Linked DNA regions of Saccharomyces cerevisiae S288C. The protein of the gene in region 3 purifies or fractionates together with the protein of the main gene of each other region. This does not show direct contact. Each region holds a gene or a part of one and is shown on either strand. Other genes may lie near its edges.

Region 1 (3,930 bases), on a different chromosome or scaffold from region 3:
AAGGCAGCGTATTTTACTCAAAAGGTAAATGGCTCTCTCAGCGTTCAATATCATTCGATGACACTGTTCGTAGGCGAGATATTGACAAACGTGGGAGATTTCGTGAATCATGTGTTCTAATAAATGATGTAGAACAATTCCAAAACTATTCCATTGTCTGGGACGAGAGTAGACATCGCTACCGTCGGCAGGCACTTCCAGACACGTACGATTACGAGCATCTCTATCCCAATGGCGACGAAACTCCTCGGAACACGCCTCACGACAATATAATAATTCATCAAAACTTGCATAGCATTACGGAAGGCTCTTATATCTATATAAAGTGATTTTCTGGTCATATAATAATCTACATTCGTTGTTAAATAGAGTTTGCAATTTAATATTCACATTAAGGATATTCTCTAATATCAAGCTACAAAAAAGGAAAACCCCTGCTTTTTATAAATGGAAATCAGTGGTGGAAAAAGAATTGCCTTGCTAAGAGTATTGTTGTCCAATTATTCAAACTTCGTTTTGAAAAACTTATGATCCATAGCCTCCTTTGCTGTTAATCTTTCTTGATGGTCATACCTTAATAAATTGTCGATTAAATCAACCACTTCAGGAACAGCTAATTTGGTCTCGGAGGTTATAAAGTGTGTCCACGATTTTTTTGTAAAGTCTCTCATAATGTTGTCGTATTCAGATGGTAAGTGCAACCCGTACTTACCCAAATAGCCTAACAGTTCCTTGGTTCCTAGTACTGTGGCAATCTTTACCAGTTGATCTGGATTAGACGACCCTTTGAAAAAAGGTTCTTTTTTGAAGACAATAGCTGCTAGCATGCATCCTACTGACCATAAGTCTAGGGAGTAGTCATATTGGTTCAAGTTTACTAAAAGTTCTGGTCCCTTGTGGTAACGCGAAGCGACACGAACGTTGTAATCTACACCTGGATGGTAGAACTCCGCCAGGCCCCAATCGATCAGCCTTAGTTTACGTTCCGTAGGATCAATCATGACATTCTGAGGCTTTACGTCTCTGTGCATTATGCCCATGGAGTGACAGTAGTCTAACGCAATCAATAATTGCGTGAAATAATACTGGATGTCAGGAAGTTTGAATGTAGGATATAAAGTTCTGAAATCAACATTTTTGATTTCCTCAAAGATCAAAGCAGGTATTTTGGAGTCAGCGTCTTGTACTATATCATAAAGGCCAACAACATTGGGGCCGCCTGTTAGATTGGTCAGAATTTTCAACTCTCTATAAATTTTTTTCATTTTAACTGGTTTTAAAACTTTAATAACACACTTCTGGTTGTTTACAATACATCTACCGCTGAACACTTCGGAATATTTCCCTCTTCCAATTTTGTTGATAATTTCGTAATTGGAAATCTTTCCCCAATCGATGGTCACCCCTTGTTCGTAGTCCCAGTATTCTTGTGGTCTCTCCTCGCAGGCATTCTTGTACACCCTAGCTACAGAGTAGACTCTATTAGATTTCTGGTTCAATGTTGACGGAGGTAATGGCATTCTGTTTCTTCTATTCTTTTAGGTTTATTGTTCCTTCTATTTCCCTGAGACCTTACAACTCTATGATGTTTTTTTAATTACTTTTTATTTTTTAGCAATCATACAAACTCCAACAAATGTGTGTGCCCGTTGTTTCCCAATTCAGGTTAAAAAGGTTGACGATGCTTTATTCTTCTTTTTATAACTTCCACCTAGATAAGATCGTTGGAAATTTTTCGATCGTCTGTTTGCTTTGCCAGGTTCGGGCGAAAAGCGGGCTACGCAAGGAAATTTTTTTCTTTGAGGCCTGATAAAGGCCTGTTGGCAGGTAACTAAGAAATGATAGACTGCCTTGAAAGGGGACAGCATTCACCAATTCGCCTGACTTTTGATGTCACGGAAATTATGCACACTAAATTTTACTCTTAGCGGAAAGCAGGGAAGTTTGGTCATTAGGGATATCCAACTTTGGAGCAATCGACCTACAGCAAGTAAATCAACTTCAGAGTTGAGGGGACAATTCATTCAGTATGTAGATCTCGCAAAACTGCCTTTGTGGGTCCGCTCCACAAATATGAATACATATAGATGTTATAGTACCAGTGCAACCGCACAGGCTTACTTCAAATCAAAACTAAGGAACGCGAATCGTGGCATTGTCATTGAATTGTTTGACAAGGTCGATCAGCGATCGCAGGAGCCAGCATACTTGATTATATTTCGAGAGAACACAGAGTTAAACTGCTTTCAAGTGGATCTAACAATGAAGCATGAGTTTGATGGCCAGGTCACCAAATTGAAGCAAGATATTGGAAAGACAAGGGCCTCCGTATCAAAGGAAGGTAGTATTGATATAATAATACAACAATCTCAACAAAGGAAGATCGGAACGAAAACGGAAGTGTATCGCAACGTGCATATTAATGACAAACGGCTTCAATTCAATGAAACTTTGTCCAAGCTAATTTTGGGTGGCCTCCGACTTCGAGGTATTTCTAATTCTATTACAGACTATCAAAAGTTATACAAGATAACGTTTGATGCAGCTGAATTTACGCACAGGGATGAATTAAAACGCATTTCGATGGGATCTGGTGAAGAGGTTTCGTTTGAATCATTGCAGGAAACTGTGGAAACTCTTCTGAAGCTCTTTACCAAATCATGATCAACGGGGATTTTCAGTATATAAGATCAAAATGAAAAACAAAGATAATAAAGAAAGGGTGGCAACTCTTTACTGCAATAATCGGTAGAAAACTTCGTGTGATCAACCATATATATTATACAGCGCTTCAGATGACTTCGGATAAACACCTTTTTGTGCTGATTCACGGGCTATGGGGTAACTATACTCATATGGAATCTATGAGGACAATTTTATCCACTACATTAAAAAAGGAAGATGTTAACGATGATATGATATATTTTTTACCAAAGCAGAATGCCATGTTTAAGACGTTTGATGGTATCGAAATCATTGGGTACAGGACATTGATTGAAGTTTGTGAATTTATCCGAGATTATAAAGACGGGAAAATCACCAAACTAAGCGTAATGGGATATTCGCAAGGCGGATTAGTGGCCCGATTTATGATCGGTAAGATGTTGACCGAATTTAAAGAACTGTTCGAGGATATTGAACCACAATTATTCATTACAATGGCAACGCCTCATTTGGGGGTAGAGTTTTACAATCCTACGGGCATAGCATATAAAAGTGCGTTATATAGTGCGCTGAGGACCTTGGGATCTACTATTTTAGGTAAAAGCGGGAGAGAAATGTTTATCGCAAATTCTAGTAACAATATATTGGTGAAATTGAGCCAGGGTGAGTACCTTGAAGCACTCTCGCTATTTAAATGGAGGATAGCGTTTGCGAATGTCAAAAATGACCGTACGGTAGCCTTCTATACGGCGTTTATTACGGATTGCGACCCATTTATAGATTTTGACAACAAATTGAAATATACATTCGAAGAAAAGATTCCGGGATCTGGCTATAAAGGAATATTGCCTAAGATTGTCGACCTAAACGCTTTAAACGTTAACAGCCATGCTCCTACTAAACCGACCAAGACTTATAAAAAGTGGGGACGCACTATTCTTATTATACTAGTTGCAACATTCTTAATTCTCCCAATAGCCCTGGTTATGAATGGCCTGGGAACCGCTTATAGTTATATTGTTACTTGCAAGTACCGCAAAATGCTCTCTAATGGCATTCTTCACAATGAGGTCAGAGGAAAATTAGGATTGACGGAGCAACTGAAAGGCTATGTTACAGATGCATACGGGTCCATCATAAATTCGGCTTTAGATATGGATGCGAACTATGAAGCAAGTAATAGTAATCTTGTAAACGAAGAAGAGCTTCCTTGGAAGGAATTTATCCAAAAATACACAACTATAAATGATGGTGTTTGGAAATCTA
Region 2 (3,642 bases), on a different chromosome or scaffold from region 3:
CTTTGAACGTGTTGAAGAAAAGGAATTCGCAATCAAGTTTGAAGCACAAAAGTTCACATGCATCCTTACAAAAATTCAAAAGAAACAAAGGAAAGTCCTCCATGATAGCACCATCGACAGCAACTAATAGCAGCAATGATGACTCTTGTAGCTACAGTTCCAAAAATTCTACGTTGAGTCACCGAATATCGTTACCTGTACCGGACCAAGTTTCCCGTGATAAAATTCAGAACAAATTAAGATATTCGACCTCATTACTCTCATTAAATTCTAAATCATCTTTACCGATGAACAAAAATGATCATGATGAGACACTTCTAAGACAGATTTTACTAAATTGTGATATAAAGAGAATTTTAAACCCCGCAAAAGGAGATGTATTGCCTTTAATCAACGATGTAAACCATTTGTCATCAATACAATTAACATCAAATGTTTGGCAAATTGGTGAAGTAATCTGTAAAAAAGTTTCTCTCGGTACTATTGATGACATTACATGGGATAGAAAGTTCTTATCTTTGCAGGAACTGGAAAAACTCAAAATCATGCAACAAAAATTTGATGGCATACCGCAACTATTGAAAAGTTTTGTTGTTAAAGAGGCAAATGGGGGGTTGTATTTGTACTTACTATTCAAAGATCACGGTACCCCAATTTCGTTAATCTCACTGAAAAACTGGAAGCAGATTCTAAAGATTTTTTGGTCTTGTGCTGGTATAATTCATGGGTTGGAAAAAAATTTGAAATTTGAACATCGTAATCTTACTTTGGATAATATTTTGATAGATGGTAATGGGAATATAACAATTATTGATTTTAAATGCAGTAGATTGCAAACTCCTCAAGATGATGTTTTATATCTACGGCTAGATCATCCACTCTTTTTTCTAAATGGGAAAGACAAGAGTAAAATAAACGAATACCAGTATCAATTTGAGTTTGAAATCTATCAAAGTATGCGGATCTTGTTGAACATGGACGCGTCAGCTTTTGAGCCCATGACAAATTTGTATTGGTTATATTACCTGTCACGCGTTTTACTAAAGTTTGGTGACAGGAAGCTTGGTAAGAATGATGCAAACAGGGATAAAATGGCAAGGGTGATAAACCATTTGGAAATGAACTTGGCAGTTCATAAAAGAGGGGGGCAGTTATTCAAAAGATTGGAGACGGAGGACATTAAGAATACTGGAGATTTACTAAAACTTTATAAATAAAACAAATAGGAATGTTGACATTTATATTTCATTTTCTTTCTATTGTATACTCCAATACATAAACATATTATATATACGTACATAATGTAATAACACTAATCTAAAATAATGGCATCGTCGACAGCATCCAAGGCTTTCTCCTCTTGAGTCTCCACAGATGCAGGTGCTTCCATTTTGGGAGTCAAAAACAATTGCTTAACGATAAATTCCACGCCGTTGATGACATTCATCAATGCCCAAACCCAGATTCCCAAAGAGACACTCTGTAAAGCCATATCATCAAACTTGGAAGCACCAAATTTGCCCTCCATTATATGCCATTTCTGAGAAATAGTCCTTAGAGGATGCAAGAGAACATATAACCAGCCTTGAGACCAAACACCACTTACAAACGTAGGGAACAAGGTGCTAGTCGAGGAACTCAACTTGTAAACTGGTGTCTTGCCGTACATAATCTTAAACACAAAAAATGGCACCGTCAATGCCAATAACCTGAGTTTGTGAAGATGGGCCTGAAAGGCTTTATTTTCTGATTGTATTTCGTCCTTCAAGTTATTTATTTCTTTATCTAACGAGTCCAATTTTCTATTGTTCTTAGTCCATTTGGCATAATTATCCTGCGCGGAGATAGAGTTGTTGAATTCTTTTAATTCGTGACGTTCTTTGACCTTGGCTAAGTATTTTTTGGATAATTCATTTCCTGGTGCAAATTTAGAGATCCATTTCTCGTGGTATTTGTTTGTATACTGTAGAAACTTTGTGACCACAATAAAGAATATCGCTACCGCTGCTGCCCAATGCATTTCTCCTATTTCAATCAACTAGACGTAGTTCAAGGATTGCAAACTGTCCTGCTTTCTTTTATCTGGTCTTTTTATCCCGAGGTATTGTTGTATATACCACTACTCTGTGATTTTTTTTCACTCTTGGGAAGGAAAGAAAAAGTGAAAACATCAACTGGTAAGTGTCTAATGACAAAAACAGGAGGTAGTTGGTACGTGCAAAACACGATAGTGACGTTAATCCGAATCTGTAAATTGGTGAATTGGTATTTAGAAGCGACCATTAGCTAAAAGAGAGAGAAAACTATGTCGCAAGAGTTTGTGGAAGACTATTCACGTACAGGGTCCTCAGACGACGAGGATAGTGGAGCTTATGACGAGTGGATTCCATCGTTCTGTTCCAGATTTGGTCACGAGTACTTCTGCCAAGTCCCGACAGAGTTTATCGAGGATGATTTCAATATGACCTCGTTATCCCAAGAGGTACCCCACTACCGGAAAGCTCTGGATTTGATATTGGATTTGGAGGCTATGAGTGATGAAGAAGAGGACGAAGACGACGTGGTGGAAGAAGACGAAGTGGATCAAGAGATGCAGAGTAATGACGGTCATGATGAAGGCAAAAGGAGAAACAAGTCGCCAGTGGTGAACAAGAGTATTATCGAGCACGCAGCAGAACAGTTATACGGATTGATACATGCAAGATTTATTCTGACCAAGCCAGGCCTGCAAGCAATGGCTGAAAAATTCGACCACAAGGAATTTGGAACGTGCCCCCGTTACTATTGTAATGGCATGCAGTTGCTGCCTTGTGGGTTGAGCGATACAGTTGGGAAACACACCGTAAGGTTGTACTGTCCCAGTTGTCAGGACTTGTATCTTCCCCAATCATCTAGATTCCTGTGCTTAGAAGGTGCATTTTGGGGGACAAGCTTCCCTGGTGTGTTCTTGAAACATTTCAAAGAATTGGAAGAGTATGTGGAAAGGAAAAGTAAAGAGTCCTACGAGTTGAAAGTTTTTGGGTTCAGGATAAATGATGAGGCAGTATCTGGTCCTAGAATGAAGTGGTTGAGACAATATCCATCCACGGAGGAGGACTGGGAAGAATTTGCCAAATGCGAGTTCGAGACACCGGCGGTTTAACCCTTGATTTATTTTCCTCTTTGCCCTACCATATACATATGTACTTTACCTATTTACATTGTTTCAGTTTTTATATCACCACTATTATTATTATTACTATTACCACTTTGGAGTACTTTAGTGATTCATTTCCAATTGTTTTCCTGGAGCCCAGTCTTTGAATGCCTTGGCCAAGTTGTACCAGTACTTTAGCTCCACGGTCAACTTCACTGCGGCGGCGTAATCCTTGTCATTGTAGCATTGTCCCAACTGGGCTTCAATATCTTGAATTCTTTCCTTGTTTTGCTTTTCAAGCAGCTTCACACCAGCTTCGTCGTCCATCTGGGATAATTCATCATGGATGTCTAGAACTTTCAATAGTAACTGTGGATCACTGGTAGTTACTTCATTTGAGGTCTGTTCTTGCGTCAAATCGATATTGCGCAAGAGTTTTAGCATATATTGTGACCTTCTAAGGGGATCTTTGAGAGTATGGTAAGCTTGATTAAGAGTTGATGACT
Region 3 (7,363 bases):
TCAATATCAGGGTGCAAGTTCTTGATAAAGATGTTACCAGAACCCTTCTTTCTCAATGATGGGTCACGTTGAGACCACATAATACGGCATAATCTACCCTTGATTGGAGTGTAGTTCAATTGCTCAATTGCTTTTCTGCCGGCTTCATGGTCGTTAAAGTTAACATAAGCATAGCCCAAAGAGGTCTTAGTGATGGCATCACGACAGACACGAATGGAGGAGACTGAACCGATTGGAGAGAAGATATCATATAAGTGGGCTTCGGAAACAGAAGGTTCTAAGTCACCAACATATAATGATGCAGAAGAGTTTTCAACAGATTGGCTTTCTGAACCAGTGGCGGCTTGCTTTTGGTCATCTTGAATATTCAAGTTTTCCAATTGTTCAGCTGTCTTATCAGTAATATCAGCCATTTTATTTTTATTGGTTTTTTAGTTTTTTTTGGATTTTTTTTTTTGAGTTTTTATTGAATAAAAAGCCAGATATTAGGTGGTGGTACCAGGGCCTGCTCTATGCTTCAAACGGTTATTAAGTAAAAATGTTACTTCGTAGCTCACTGTCCTAAAAATACAAAATCAAAACTAAAGAATTTTACACAAGAAAGAAGAGATATAAAATACAAGATGACACTTTCTATTAAGTAAAACAGAAACCTCTTTCCTTGGAACTGGAGCGAAAGAGAACAATTGTCCCAGAACTTGCGATGGTGATGGCAAAAAGCGCAAAAAAAATTTTCTTTGTAAAAAGGAAAGAGAAAAAAAAAAAGAAATAATCTTCGATTAACAGTTTTCGTTAAACATGATTGATCTATCTGCTTTGTGGCTTCATACAGTATGACCTCTTATATGGTCATAGTAGTAACTAATTAAGCATTATTACTTTACGGTGCCCTATAGTACACACACTTACACGCAAATATATATACATAAATACGTTTATAGTTATGGGGGGAAGGAACAATGGAAAATGTGGTGAAGAAAAATTGTTTCACTTCTTTTGAGACTCTGTTATCTTGTCGTACATTGCCATCAGCTTTGTACTCTTAACGTCGGCAGGCCAAAAGTTGGCACTGTAAGACCAAAGGTGCTTGCGATATTTTTCTGGGCTTGCCTTTCTCGATGAGCCCTTTTGCGATTCGATATGATTACCAATCGTAGTTAATTCGGTCTTCAAAATTTTGGCCCATTCCTTACGATCAAGACTTTTGCCGCCTCTTCTAAGTCGCTTCAAAGAAGTACGTATTGCACTCATTGTGTGTCGACAGTCTTCTTCATCCATGCTGTCATATTCTTTTTCGTGAGCGCTGCCGCTACTGGGGTTGCTTGATTGCCTTGTACCATTATCTCTGGAAACCTTGGACTTTAATGGGGGCGTGGGGCTGTTTGGAGACAATCTCGTGTTATTTATTAAGGCGGCAGGACCTTTTGGGAGGGCTTTCATACGTTTGCTTGGCGGGCCATTTGCAGGCTCAGAACTTGTAATTTCTGGAGTCATGGATTTGCTGTGATTAGCAGGTTTTCTTTGTCTCTTTTTGGAAGGACCAGTAGGGAGTTTTTTCGAGCCTATGTCAGCACTGGGACTCTTTGTATTTAGGCCTCCTCTTAAGAAGGATAATAGATAATCAACTCTTCTGCCCAAGTGAATGGCACCAGGTACTTTTTTTGAAGAACCCGTTATTCCCTTTCCTTTCTTTGAGGGTGTTGGTGTTGTATCAGAGGAGCTTGCCGACTTTTTTGCTACCGGATTGTGAACTTCATTCAAGAATATTTTATCAGTAATGCCTAGAAATGGATCGTCTCTTATTTGTGTCCAGGAACCATATCCATATTTGAAAACACCAATCAATAGCTTCTCATCTTCCTCTTTCGTCCAATTAGATGACCAATTCTGTACAGGCTTAGGTGTGTTGTTGCCTAGGCTAAACTTTAATGGATCATCTTTGTAGTTTGAATTTATCAAGTTCTTCAAGTACTTTAAATCCTCCACTCTACTTAGTAAAGATTCGGCGTTTAAAGATTTAACACCTTTAAAGTTGAAAAGGACGGCTTTCTTTTCTCTTTTTTTTAAAGATAATCTAGTCAACGGATTATCCTTTGGTTGGTTCTCTGCTTTTATTTCACCGCTTTTTAGCTTTGCTCTATAGGCGGTAGCATGCTTCTCAAGTTTCTCCAAGATTTCTTTTCTATTTTTCTCTTCCTCGTGTACACAGTCTTTAGCTGCTTCCATCATTTCATCGTAAGTTTCACCGTATTTTTCAAATGATTTGACCGGCAGGGTTCCATCTGCAATCAACTCGTCCAAAATCTCCTTTAGGTTGCCAAATTTTAAAATAGCTTTATACAAAGCTCTCACCTCCGATTCACCAATAGAGTCCATGTCATTAGCTCTTGCTCTTCTTCTAGAAGATCTGGAAGTACTATCGTCGTCAGAATCTGAGTTTGCGGCGGTCCCATCACCATTAACACTGTTTTTTATTTTTTTTAGGGCGTTATCCCTTCTATTCATCATTTCAAGTTGTTCTTTAACATATTCTTCATCCTTGCGTTTCTGCTCTTCATCTTGGAGTTTTTTTAGTTCTTCTTCTGGAATGATATCATCCCAATCTATATCAGCTTTATAATCAGTCACTTCGAATTGCTTCAAAAACTCTTCACCGCCAAGATGCGACTCTCCTAAGTCTGGAGTAGTAACGTGATCCTCTGCATGATTCAAAACATCATCCAAGTTAAGATCCTCCAATTTTTTCTGGTTGTCTGTGGCAGTGAACATATTGCCTGCACCGAACTTCAGGATTGCCGATAATTCACCGGCATTTGGTTCATTCTTCTTAGTGTATTTGTTACCATCTGTCACTCCAAGAGAAATAATAGCATATTCCAGAATCATTTTCTTCCGTGCTCTTTCTAATACCTCTTCCTCTACTGTGTCTTTTGAAACCAACCTATACACCATAACGTGATTTTTTTGGCCAATACGATGAGCTCTAGCCATTGCTTGTAAATCGGCTTGCGGATTCCAATCGGAATCAAAAATCACAACGGTATCGGCGGTCATTAAGTTGATACCCAAACCACCAGCACGAGTAGAAAGTAAAAATACGAAGTCGTTTGAATCCGGAGAGTTGAAATGATCAATAGATATCCTTCTTTGAGCAGATGGTACTGTACCATCTAACCTTTGGAAGTTAATACCTTTAATGGATAAATAGTCGCCTAAAATGTCAAGCATTCTGACCATTTGTGAAAAAATCAACACGCGGTGCCCATCTTTCTTCAATCTGGTCAATAATTGGTCTAAAAGAACCATCTTACCCGAAGACATGATCAAACCTCTTAGTACGTTTTCTCGAGTCATTTTACCATCCCCAAATTTCTGTAAGACGCGCTCTTCAGCATTATCGAAGAGATATGGATGGTTCGATGCCTTTTTCAACTCGTTCATAATATTCAGTAAAGAGAAATGACCCCCTTTAGCTCCAGCAGTTAAAGCAGAGTAGTTTTTAGTCAGAATATTTTTATAGTACTCAGTCTGTACGTCGGACAATTCAACTCTTAAAATACGCTCTGTCTTTGATGGAAGTGATTTTTCTACGTCTTTCTTCAACCGACGAAGAATAAAAGGCTGTATTCTTCGGTGTAAATCATGAATATATTCTTCTTGCTCTTCATCTTGGTTTTCAAAATCAATCTCCTGATCAATCGTAAACCTTCCGGGCATTAGGAAATTAACCAACGCAGCTAACTCTTTAATATTATTCTGAAGAGGTGTGCCTGTGATTAACATACGGTTGGCGACCTTGAAACTGTTTAATGATTCATAAAGGGATGATTCAGCATTTTTTAGTCTATGAGCTTCGTCAACGGCCATAAATTGCCATTTTATACTTCCTAATTCAGCACGATCCTTTAAGATGTACTCGTATGTTGTTAATAAAACATTAAATTTCATTGTTTTTTTCCCTTTTGCCCTTGGATTGGTGTAAAATTCATATTCTCGAATGGTATCTCTTGATTTTTGGTTGCCCATATAGCATATACAATTCAAATCAGGCGCCCATTTCTCAAAAGTATCCAACCAGGCAGGCATTGTCGATAAAGGAACGACAATGATGTGAGGTCCGTTTTGTCTACGAGCAAATATCAGCCAACTGATAAAGGCGACAGTCTGGACCGTTTTTCCCAGGCCCATCTCATCTGCCAGTATACCATTATCACCTTTGGACCACAAAAATGCCATCCAATTAATACCAGTTAGTTGAAAATCTCTTAATTCCCCACCTTTAATGAACGGAGGTTGCACGCTTAACTTCTCAAAACGCGGTCTCTGTGAAGTATAATTACTGGAATATTGTGGGAGGATCTTAGAGTTTTCTCTGTTTTGAAAATGTTTCACTTGTTCAGGTGCCAATTTCACGATATCTGTGGCATTCTCCCAAGTAGCCTCGTCGTAATTTAGACGACGCCATTTAACTAAATACTGTAATTGTGAGGTGCCGTCTTCCAACGAAGCACGTTGGCTATCAATAATCCTTTCTGGCACGTGGAACTCCTCAAATTCATCAAGCCTACGTTCACGTTCCATGTCCATGATCTCTATATCTTCGGCGGTAACGTATGGATCTAATCTTACTTGTTGATCTTCGATGATGAATTGCTTACAATAGTTGTCCAACCTCTTCAATCCACGGACTTGGCCAATGGATTCATAAGTTTCCCAGGTATTGTGGAGATGAGATTCATCTGTCCATTTGATTAAGAATTCATAATTTTCCTTGCAGTTATTGAGGTCAGGAACAGTCTTTTCCAAGACCTTTCCTTCTTCCAAAGATGTCTTTAGTCTGTGATTGATAACAATATCAATACCGTGGAAGTCCTCTGGTTGAGGATTGGCAGATGCTTCATGCACATTTTCCTCTGATAAAGCCTCCTCGGAACCATAGTCATCTTCAGATTCTAAGAGGTCATCATCGCTATAATCGATGTTATAATTTACCGTTTTGTTTTGACGATTAGAAAACCTTGTTGGTATTTTCACTGTAGATTGCTTTTCAGATTGAGATTTTGGCTTAGATTTAGACTTTGATTTTGTTCTTGATTTCGGTTTTGATCGATTTTGTTTTATAGGAGAGCCATAATAATCATCATCTTCTTCAAAATCTTCCTCATCTTCGTCCTCTCCAGAATCTTCTTCGCCTTCTTCATCTTCAAATTCGTCTTCGTCGTCTTCAATCGTGGTCATTCTCTTCCTCCTCGACTGTTTAATATTATCTTCATCGTCCTCATCATCGCTATCGTTGAAGTAGTTTTGTTGATGCGCAGCAGCTCTATGTGACCGCCTCAGCCCATATAGTTCAGGATTTTGCAGCACTTCAGTAGAAATATCCTTGGCTGCCATTATAAGTGAGAATTAAATTAGAAAAGGTTCTGCTTTGAATTGGGTATAGGTTTAAAGAAATAACGGAAAAGTCTTGAAGCAAATGAAAAATAAAAACCTTTGAGAAACTTTGTCGTTAGTGAATAGGTAAGCTAGTGGAACTCAAGTACGAATTAAAGAAAATGATGGTCGATGTTTAGGCTTATTCAATTTTCTCCTTTGGAAGAAACAAGTATGTGTATATTCACAAAAGAAGTAACGGAAAAGAGAAGGTGACTTCTGCAAGCTTGCTTATCTTGACTTGATAACCCCAAACTTTTATCAACTTGACTTAGATGTCCGGACAAGAATACGATAGTACTAACCAGATATAATGAGGACAAGATTCTTCTACACAATGTTTCTCGTGGTACAGTTTCGAAATTGAAAAGAAGGAAAGGAAAAAAAGTAAAATTATATAACGAGAGGGTAACAGTATGATAATCGACTACTGAACTATGATCTGTTCGACAAGTGTTGCATATTACATGTCTTTAATGGTATCAATAATTGACATAATCTTATATCAGTAATGATATCAGGAAAGAACTTTGTAATGTTTGGGAACATATGTCCTAGTGTAGGGATGGGATGTGATAAGGATCGTGGGATGTTAAATTTATTCTCTTAGATGAAATTGCCTACACCTTCTGGACGGTTGATAATTAAGTTTTCAACTTTAGCGTGTTTCATTTTCAAAATATTGAAGAAGTGGCCTACCAGTGATATCCAACCGATGCGCGAGCAACACGCAAGCCCTTGGCTTGTGAGCAGCGTTTAGCTGACCGTATTACGCATTGATGGGCTGAGGAAAACATACAGGCAATCATGTCTTTTGATTTTGGCAACGTATGATCTTTTACCGTATATGGGGCAGTAACATATCATCGAAGTAAAAGCTAAAACAAAGAAAGTTAAAAAAAATAAACGTACAACATAGAAGCTTACCTTTCAAGGATATCTCAAAAGTATCAAATATATCACGGTGACTTCGGCCTGCGAAAGAAGATTTTCCTCGAACGGTGAAATACTGAGATGATCCATAAAGTAATGAGAGTGTTCTCGCTTGTATGGTTCGCTGACCTATGCCACCCGTGTTTCTCCATTGCGCAGAGGCTTCCATATTGACCACTACGTAGTGGCAACTTAAAACAATCAAAAATCGTTTTCTTCCTTAGGACTTGACTGCTTCGTCTTAAGATTATTGCCAGAAATTGAAGACAGAAAACATCAGTGAGAGGGGAGGGAGAGAGTGTCGCAACGTATGACCTCTTTTAAAGGCGTATGTCAACCAGCGGTTATCAATAGTTCCCTTGTGTTAAGGGAAGCTTGGAAGTTGTCACCAACACCTAGCAGACTTTTCTTCGACGTCCTCCCTAGTGGTTTATATGAAGAGAATGAGAAAATTTGCCACTCCAGTAATTTTTCCTTTTTTTTTTTTTTGGATTCGCCAAGGAGCGGGATAATTGGTATTCTGGGTAACGCTAAAAGGTAAGGTCAATATTAGCTATGAGTTTAGTCTCGAGGTGATTTAACCTTGGAAGAAGCAATCACGACGTTGGTTTGGGCTTATAAAAAGTTGTATGGCCAAATGACTAATGACAACAGTGGTATCTGGGTCCTAGGCTACGGATCTCTGATTTACAAGCCTCCGTCTCATTACACGCATAGAATACCGGCAATAATTCACGGTTTTGCTCGTCGGTTCTGGCAAAGTTCCACTGATCATAGGGGTACACCTGCAAACCCAGGAAGAGTGGCCACACTAATCCCGTATGAGGATATTATAAGGCAAACTGCCTTCTTGAAGAATGTGAATTTGTATAGTGAAAGTGCACCTATCCAGGATCCCGACGACTTAGTCACCATAGGGGTAGTGTATTATATACCACCAGAACATGCTCAAGAGGTTAGAGAGTATTTGAACGTAAGAGAACAAAACGGGTACACT

Evidence for each region.
Region 1: the proteins of CHD1 (region 3) and CKA2 purify together in Saccharomyces cerevisiae (affinity purification with mass spectrometry; 7 studies listed by BioGRID). This does not show direct contact.
Region 2: the proteins of CHD1 (region 3) and CKB1 purify together in Saccharomyces cerevisiae (affinity purification with mass spectrometry, with the first as the bait; 5 studies listed by BioGRID). This does not show direct contact.

The regions. Positions count from the first base shown.
Region 1 is NC_001147.6:439,124-443,053, reverse strand, and holds CKA2 (casein kinase 2 catalytic subunit CKA2), read right to left. Parts: upstream 1,521-3,930; coding exon 501-1,520; downstream 1-500. Other genes in the region: YOR062C (uncharacterized protein), read left to right, coding at 1-329; SLD7 (Sld7p), read left to right, coding at 1,891-2,664; LPL1 (putative hydrolase), read left to right, coding at 2,796-3,930. UniProt on the Saccharomyces cerevisiae protein: Catalytic subunit of a constitutively active serine/threonine-protein kinase complex that phosphorylates a large number of substrates containing acidic residues C-terminal to the phosphorylated serine or threonine.
Region 2 is NC_001139.9:455,851-459,492, forward strand, and holds CKB1 (casein kinase 2 regulatory subunit CKB1), read left to right. Parts: upstream 1-2,305; coding exon 2,306-3,142; downstream 3,143-3,642. Other genes in the region: protein kinase ALK1, read left to right, coding at 1-1,217; GET complex subunit GET1, read right to left, coding at 1,313-2,020; J-type chaperone JAC1, read right to left, coding at 3,260-3,642. UniProt on the Saccharomyces cerevisiae protein: Regulatory subunit of casein kinase II/CK2.
Region 3 is NC_001137.3:503,423-510,785, reverse strand, and holds CHD1 (chromatin-remodeling ATPase CHD1), read right to left. Parts: upstream 5,395-7,363; coding exon 988-5,394; downstream 1-987. Other genes in the region: PAB1 (polyadenylate-binding protein), read right to left, coding at 1-413; GCG1 (gamma-glutamylcyclotransferase), read left to right, coding at 7,004-7,363. UniProt on the Saccharomyces cerevisiae protein: ATP-dependent chromatin-remodeling factor which functions as substrate recognition component of the transcription regulatory histone acetylation (HAT) complexes SAGA and SLIK. It recognizes H3K4me.